2 linked regions of the Cricetulus griseus genome follow. The protein of the gene in region 2 purifies or fractionates together with the protein of the main gene of each other region. This does not show direct contact. Links are inferred from orthologs where the notes say so. Each region holds a gene or a part of one and is shown on either strand. Other genes may lie near its edges.

The links. The genes of interacting proteins can lie anywhere in the genome.
Region 1: the proteins of Slc30a4 (region 2) and Stx8 purify together in Homo sapiens (co-immunoprecipitation; 3 studies listed by BioGRID and IntAct, with this or other methods). This does not show direct contact. The link is inferred for Cricetulus griseus from reciprocal best matches to the Homo sapiens genes SLC30A4 and STX8.

The regions. Positions count from the first base shown.
Region 1 is NC_048600.1:81,830,593-81,834,898, reverse strand, and holds the start of Stx8 (syntaxin-8), read right to left. Parts: upstream 2,873-4,306; 5' UTR 2,755-2,872; coding exon 2,738-2,754; intron 1-2,737. Other genes in the region: Cfap52 (cilia- and flagella-associated protein 52), read left to right, coding at 3,655-3,730. UniProt on the Homo sapiens protein: Vesicle trafficking protein that functions in the early secretory pathway, possibly by mediating retrograde transport from cis-Golgi membranes to the ER.
Region 2 is NC_048599.1:55,840,977-55,844,624, reverse strand, and holds part of Slc30a4 (zinc transporter 4), read right to left. Parts: coding exon 3,647-3,648; intron 2,808-3,646; coding exon 2,673-2,807; intron 1,791-2,672; coding exon 1,636-1,790; 3' UTR 1-1,635. UniProt on the Homo sapiens protein: Probable proton-coupled zinc ion antiporter mediating zinc import from cytoplasm potentially into the endocytic compartment. Controls zinc deposition in milk.

The DNA.
Region 1 (4,306 bases), on a different chromosome or scaffold from region 2:
CTTTAAATAAAGTCCTGGTTGGGTGTGGTGGTGACACAGGCCTTTAATGCCAGCACTGCAGAGGCAGAGGCAGGCAGAGTTCTGTGAGTTCAAGGCCAGCCTGGTCTACACACACACACACACACACACACACAGAGAGAGAGAGAGAGAGAGAGAGAGAGAGAGAGAGAGAGAGAGAGAGAGAGAGAGAGAAGAAAAGAAAATGTTGTGCCAGGTTCAAGGAGTCCCATACCAATCCCAGGAGTAGACACTGATGCAAAAGCAAAAGGTTTGTTTTTATTGTTCAAGCTGGCCAGCTTGGATCTCACTCCATGGTGGGGAAATGAGACGCCAACAAGCCAAAGAGAGAAGCTTTTAAAGGAGCAGACCGTAAGGTTGAAGTAACTTAACGAAACGTCTCAAACTTTTTTAAAAAGTGAATAAAGGCATAGCTCAGTGCACGAGACTCAATCACCAGCATCAGAAAGAAGAAAAGTGTTTAACTTGGGCTGGGGATGTGGCTCCAGGTCCTACAGAGAGAACTTTGTTGTGAACTTCACAAGCACTTCAGAGACAGTGTCACCCCTAACCCTAGACTCACATATACATCAATATGCATCATTCAGTATATTCAGGTATAGGTATGTGTATGAAAAAGAGCAGGTGGTTAATATATATTATATATGTTTTTTTGGGGGGGGTGTTGGAGGCAGGATTTCTTTGTGGCTTTGGAGGCTGTCCTGGAACTAGCTCTTGTAGACTAGGCTGGTCTCAAACTCACACAGATCTGCCTGCCTCTGCCTCCTGAGTGCTGGGATATAAGGTGTTTGCCACCACCACCTGGCTTATATATAAAATTTTTTAAAAAGAGAGGCAATAAGGAAAATAGTCCTAGCCCCGGATTCCCCACATTTTACTTGTTTGCCTTCACACTATCAGCTATGAAGACAGGAGCTTAGTCTTGCTCTGTAAGGGCAGATCAAACATATAAAATCCATAACACAATTCCATCAAATACGAGACCTAAATTAAGTACCTCTGGAGTTAGGATGGGAGACATTACTGATGTCAGAGGTGCTCAGATTGGCTGGGCTGCAAGAGGACATCTTGGGCTGACTTCCAGACTAAAGCAGATTTCCATACTGGAAGGAGGGGTGAAATCTAAACACCATGGAAAGCACAAGCACAGAAGAATTGAAGAAAGCATGCCTGACCAAGTACTGGCCCTGTTAGCAGGGTACATTTAAATAGGACAGATTAGCAGAGGTCAGTTTCTACAGAACTTGGCACAGTAGTCTAATGAGATCTGACTCAGGGGAATTTTACCCCAAGACACTGAAGCATTAGAACTCTTTTACTGTTAGTCTCAATTGTTTTACTCAGTGGCTTTCTCATTTGACAGTTGAAAGCTTTCTTGTGTTGCTGGTGACCAAACTCAAAGCCTTGCATGTAGTAAGTTCTACCACTGAGAAAAACTGAAATATATGAACATTCAGATGATGTACTGATATGCATGTAAAAATCATTTTTAAATACTACTTAATGATATGGAGACACGCTTCCTGTTGTGTAAAATACAAGCAGGATATAGATTCAAACAATAAAAGTCTTCAAAAGAAGTTAACATTGGTTCTTTCCAAATGATGAAGATGCTATTTATTTTCTTTCCTGCAGATACTCAGTAGTCTCCAAATTTTCTACCAGGGGTGTACACAATTGTTGAAACTTGTGTGTGGGGGGGAGTAAGAAGTGTTAAATTCAGCAATTTCCTGGGCATGGTGGCTGCATGTAATCGAACCACTTAGACTGAAGCAAGAGGATCAGGAATTTAAGGTCAGACTGGGCTCTCTGAGACAATGGAAACAAAGCACACAAACAAATGAAAGCCCAAGAAAATTTCAGCAACTAGCCCAAATATCTCAAATCCCAGGTAACTCTAACTCTGACCTTGGGATCCACTCTCCTAATACTTAAAATTGTCTGCCATCAAACAATTATAAACTGTACCAGAAACACCCACATAAGGCATATCCTCCAACAAGAACTTTATAGAAATACAATGTTATAAATTATTAAACAGGAAGGTCAAGACTGTATAGCAATGTGTTCCTTGTGTGAACACATTTTCTTCATTCTTTCCTTGGGGCTTCATTGCTGAATAAATGGCCCTTATCGGGTGCTGACTTTTGCACTAGTTCTTGCTGACGTTAAGTCTTCATGATACTGACACAGGAAAGGGTAAACTGCCTATCACAAGTGCAAACTTCCCTCCCAGATTGCTACAAGTCTTATTGTGAAGAGCCCATTACACCTATGCCCAGCTAACTACTAACTGGCTGGGGACCATGGAGTCTGAACCTCAGTTTCTTCCCTTTCTGGGGATTAATGGGTGAAGGCAGAGACATCCCACCAAAAGGTTATTTCTACTTCACTTTTACAGGACCCCAGGGGAGTCTACACACGCAGTCATCCACAGGCAGGTTAGGCGAGAAGCCCCCACAGAAGGCGGGGGAAAATATCGATTCTGCTCAAGTCCCAGCTCCCCCAGGTCACGGTGTCCCCCTCCGACCACCGAGTTAGCGCCGGGGAGGCGGGATGTGGTTGGGTCCCCAAAACAGGGAAAGGATCCTCACCCGCTTTGCTCACCCCTAAAAGCTGACAGCCTCAAGTTCAACGATGGCCAGGGTTTATGCGAATCCCTGGGAGCCACTTCCACCCCAAGTCCTACGGCAAACTACTGCCAACACCAGCAACTCACCAGGGGTCCGGGGCCATGGTGCAGTCTCCGCCTGCAGCTGGGACACTTCCTGCTCACAGCAGCTGACTACGGCGGCCCGCGCGGCTCATTCCCCGCAGTTCGGAAGGTGCGCGACCCGAGCCCAGCGGACAGCACAGAAAACATATTTTAGGGGCCTCAAAACCACACCAACCAAAGCTCACCCCTGGGAGACAGTGGATTGCAACAATCGATTTTTAGTTAATTCGTACGAACTGCTGGACGCAAGGAAAATGGTTAAATTGTTGAGCAGAATCAAAACCTTTTCCCAGGGATGGAAGCGCTTCAGACTCCGGCTCTCGTAGTTCTTCGCATTTTTTTTTTTTCTTTTTTTCTGATTCAAAAACAACAGAGCAAGCCGGCTGTGATACCTCGCGCCTGAATTTGCCGTGCTTGGAAGGTTGAAGCCGGAAATATTCATACAAGCAACGTTCATAGTGATACATACATGAAAATAGTTGCATACTGTACTTAAATTTTTAAAGTGATCTTTTCAAAAAGAATTCTTTTACAAGGAGGTATCAATTCCGTGTTTTGTTTTGTTTTGTTTTTTAATAGCAGCCTACGCATCAGAGGCAATTCTCTGTGTTCAATTACTTTTAATAGTTACCATAAGAGGCTTAATTTTATAGTTAAGACAAAAGTCAGAGTTTACACGGGAGACGAGGGAATTCATTCTGCATATTCAGTATTCACCTAACACCTAAATTTCTAGAATGAGTGAAAAAAATAATAAGGAAGCCCTCCCTACATTTACAAAAAGGTAAATAAAGTCGAACTCAGTGGGCTGGATTTCTGCTCCAGCGTAAACCTAGCACGCATGCGTGCGCCAGTTACCATAACGACCAAAAGACGCTGCAGCCAGGAGTTGAGGAATCAATGAGTTGAAATTCTCCAAGATGGAAGAACAAAATTTACCCGAAACCGAGACCGACGTAGCCGAACTGGAGCTTGAGGCTGTGATCGGCTTCAATGGTGAGGCCTGGAGCATCCATAATACCCCAGGGACAAGTGAGACACTGACTTGGTGGCACCTGAGAGGCCGTGGGGACAGTGGCAAGAGCCTAGCCAGGCATCACCCACGGTGATGAAGGATCTTAGCCTCATTCCCGAGCCTCAGAAATTGGAATGTGCCTAACTCAGTCTCTCTCTCTCTCTCTCTCTCTCTCTCTCTCTCTCTCTCTCTCTCTCTCTCTCTCTCTCTCTCTCTCTCTCTCATACGCGCACACACACGCACCCCTGGGAGCAGTCCTTGGCTCTGAATATTCCCCCAACCCCCACCCCCATGCATCCCCGGGTAACACCCAACCTGGGGCAAACAAACAAACAAACAAACAAACAAAAAAACACCTTTCCACACCCCTTGCTGATCTACAGTTGAGAAAGGCCTTAGGTGGAACTGCTCTAGGGGTGCTCTGTGTCCTCTGTCCCAAGTAAGGACTCTCAAAGGTTTAAAAGACAGGGATGGGAGGGAAGAGGACGTAAAGGGAGACCGCCAAGGGAGAGTCCTTGTTGATTCTGGAGAGGCCTGGCCGCTGTCATTACTTGTGG
Region 2 (3,648 bases):
AACTCAACAAATACTCCTGGGTTTTATTAGGTAACATCAGCTTTTTTTTTTTTTTTTTGATATTATCAATTCCCAACAACTTTAGGGGTTGTTGGGATAATAATCTAGATTTTCTTATTTTAGTTTTACACATAGGGACAGTCTGCAGTATGAAGATAACACCTATTTCCCACTCGCCATTTACACATCATTTGGGTTTCTAGGATTTCAGTTCACAACTTGCTTGGGACATTGTTACTCCACTCTGATTCACTCAGGAGCCAAGAGTCAAATAAAGTGTCTCTGCTGAAAAGAAGTCATCTCAAAACAACTGTTGAATATTCAGATATGAATATTCACGACTGTCTCCTTAACAAACTTCTGCCAATTATGTTCCCTTAGTTGGAAATATTTATGCCACTTCCCTAGATTTAGCTTTAATGGCCATTCTTACTTCAGTTATTTTGTGCAATACATAGTTAAAAAAACAAAACAAAACAAAACTCTTCACCTTTTGTTTTCTCAAAGAACTTTCTCCACCCAACCCTCTGTAACTTTCTGCTATGGCATTATTGTGAAACTTCAAGGCTGTACTTTGGGGATATCTCTAATGCACGGAGAACCCCCTAACCATAACATAAGACATAAATTCTCTTTCGAGTAACAGGGTACTCTGCATGGTAGGCATTAATAAACTCAGGTACCTCGATAGGAACCTGAAAGATTCATACAGATTACACATGAGAACAGGGCACCAAGGAAACTGTTACTAACAAATATTGGCAGTTCTTTAAAGGACAGTGGATAACTGCTGAAGCTTTGTCATCTCTTACTGTCCTTAAGATAATTCTACATAAAGCACAAAAGTGATTTTCAGGGAAGATAGAAATCCAAAACTTCACATGCTACTACTTGCTCCTCTGTTTTAGATCATTATATGGTAAGGTAATCTGAGGTTAAATCTAATCTCTGCCATTCAGAGTTATATTAAAAATTTCCTAAATAATTTAATGACAATGACCACATTATGTGAATATTTCTGATAAGATTACAAATAATCAAAACATTGAGATTCAAAACCAGTAATATCTGGAAAATTTGCTTATAAAGTATGACTCTAATAATAAAATTAAGAGTTATTTATGAAATAAAACAGTTATGAAACACTTAGGAATACATGCTTATTCCATTTTCTGGATATTATTACTTTCTGAAATCTGTTGGGGGGCTAATTTTTATAAAAAGGGAACACAATTCCAGAAACTAGATGCCAAGATTATACAGAGACAAAAATCCCAAATAATTCAACACTGAGCTTGCTAGCACTGACTTCATATAAAAGGACTGTAAAAAGTAGTTTTAGATGCAAATACTGAATTCTGAGTCTTTCTGTTCGTCTTGTGTATTCTGTCAAATTAATGAAGTATGGTCTTGGATTGTCTTCTATGAGGTATCTGCAGAGTTACAGCTCACTCTGTAAACAGTACTTTGGACACTTCATCTGAAAATCATGCAGTTATCAGTCAGACCCGAGTGACTATGAGAGACCATGTTTGACATGGACACAGCTGTCAGGGACTCCATTAGGTTTGCGTTTATTGCTCTCAGGTCTGTGACTGCAGGATAAATAAGGCTGTAGACCCCAAGTACACAGGATCAGGTACTGGAACTCTGACAATTTGCACAAGTTCTGTTCATTTCTTGTCTGTAACTCTGGAGCTGAATAGTGCATTTATACATGCCAAATGTGTTCAGTAATAAATGCTTAGCTTTGGACTGCACTTCTTCCCATTTAGATGAACTTCCAGGAACTGCAATATCAAGAAAATATTGAATTATCTATTGTACACTGTTATACATTAGTAAACTAGATACAGAGAAGAAACAACAGTATACTGTGACCCTATGTGCATCAGTCTGACTCCCCCATCTAAGCCCTTCTTCTGGAGAAGACAGTGTGTAAGCCCAGAATGGCTTCTCATGACCTCAGTCTTTCCATGCTCAGCAGAGAGAATGCTGAATACAAGCCTCTTATTTAAGGACCTTATATTCCTTAAGAAAGAGCCAAATCCATATATTATTTTCATTTTTAAAAGCCATCAATCTCTGAAATGATTTAAACAAGAATCTGGCTTTTTATTATATAAAAGATGGCACAGCAAAAGTATATATATATATGCTGTCTTTAAAACTCAGGAAGATATCAATTTGTAATATCTTTCTCAAAGTACAAAAAAATTAAATAATATTATTTATTTATTTGGAGTTCTGGGAATTGAACACAGGGCCTCATGCATGGTAGGGCATGTGCTCTACCACTGAGAAATCTTCCCAGACTTTGTTATCCTTTGGACCTGCAATTTATCTTTTAAAGAATCTCACCCTCCCTTGTCTTTTTTTTTGTTTTGTTTTGTTTTTTTTTTTTTTTTTTTTTTTTTTTTTTTTTTGTTTTTCCAGACAAGGTTTCTCTATAGCTTTGGAGGCTGTCCTGGAACTTGCTGTGTAGACCAGGCTGGCCTCGAACTCATAGAGATCTGCCTGCCTCTGCCTCCCGAGTTCTGGGATTAAAGGCGTGCACCACCAACACCCAGCAACCTTAAGTCTTTTTTTTTGTCAGAAGTGTCTTCATACATATAACAAGCTCAGATGTTGGCTCCAAGAGCAGACACCTGTGAACCCCATTATCAACATACTTAGCTGCATGTGAACTATGGCAGTGGATTTTCCTGAAGTGAGAGACCAGATATTCAAATCTTCCACAGAATATACATCTTCTATTTTCATCAATGATTCTTTGATATAATCTACATTCAAGTGGCTTGGTACACCTATTAGTTTGAAACATATAATTTGTAAGTTTACTTTGGCAGGAAAAGTTTTATATTACATTTAAAGAAAACAAATGGTTTTGCTAAATTCAGTTCCAATGGATTCATTAAGCTATGCTTATATTTTAAGATAAATTACAGACATTTTTATAAAAATATAGGAAGTATACAAGATGTCAATAAATACTTTAAAAATGTCAATTCTAACTAAAATGGAGTGGCAATGAAGTTAGAACACAACACTAATAAGTTAGGATGGAAAAAATTTTTTTCAACATGGTTTCACTATGTAGCCCTGGCTGGCCTGGACTTGCCCCTATGTAGATCAGGTTGATGCTGAACTCACAGTGACCCATTTGTCTCTGAGTCCTGAGTGCTGGGATTACAGGCACGAGCCACTATGCCCAGCTTAGAAACATTTGATAAGGGTAGGTTATTGCTGAGAACTTTTGTCTTCATGCTTAGAAATGCTTTCAGGAAGACAAGGATGTCAAAAATATAGCAAAGTACAAATTAAATAAGATGAAGGAATTAAATAAACCAGAAGGTATAAATGCATGAAGAATCAAAAGCTGCATTCTCATCCTAGTTTTACAGTTTATTAGTGGCATGACACTGACTGTCAAACATTTTCTTATTTGTAAATGTCAATTCCCTCAACTGTCTGCTTTACCTACTGTAAGGGTCATGTGCATGACCCAGGGATTGCACTGCTTCTTGTTTGCTATGTACAAGAGTGTATCAGTAGAAGGCAAGTCATGGCTTCTGTCCAGAGCAATCCTGACTTGTTTTCCACTAGAGAGGGCTAAACCCACAGTGGGGCATTAATGAGTGCTTACCT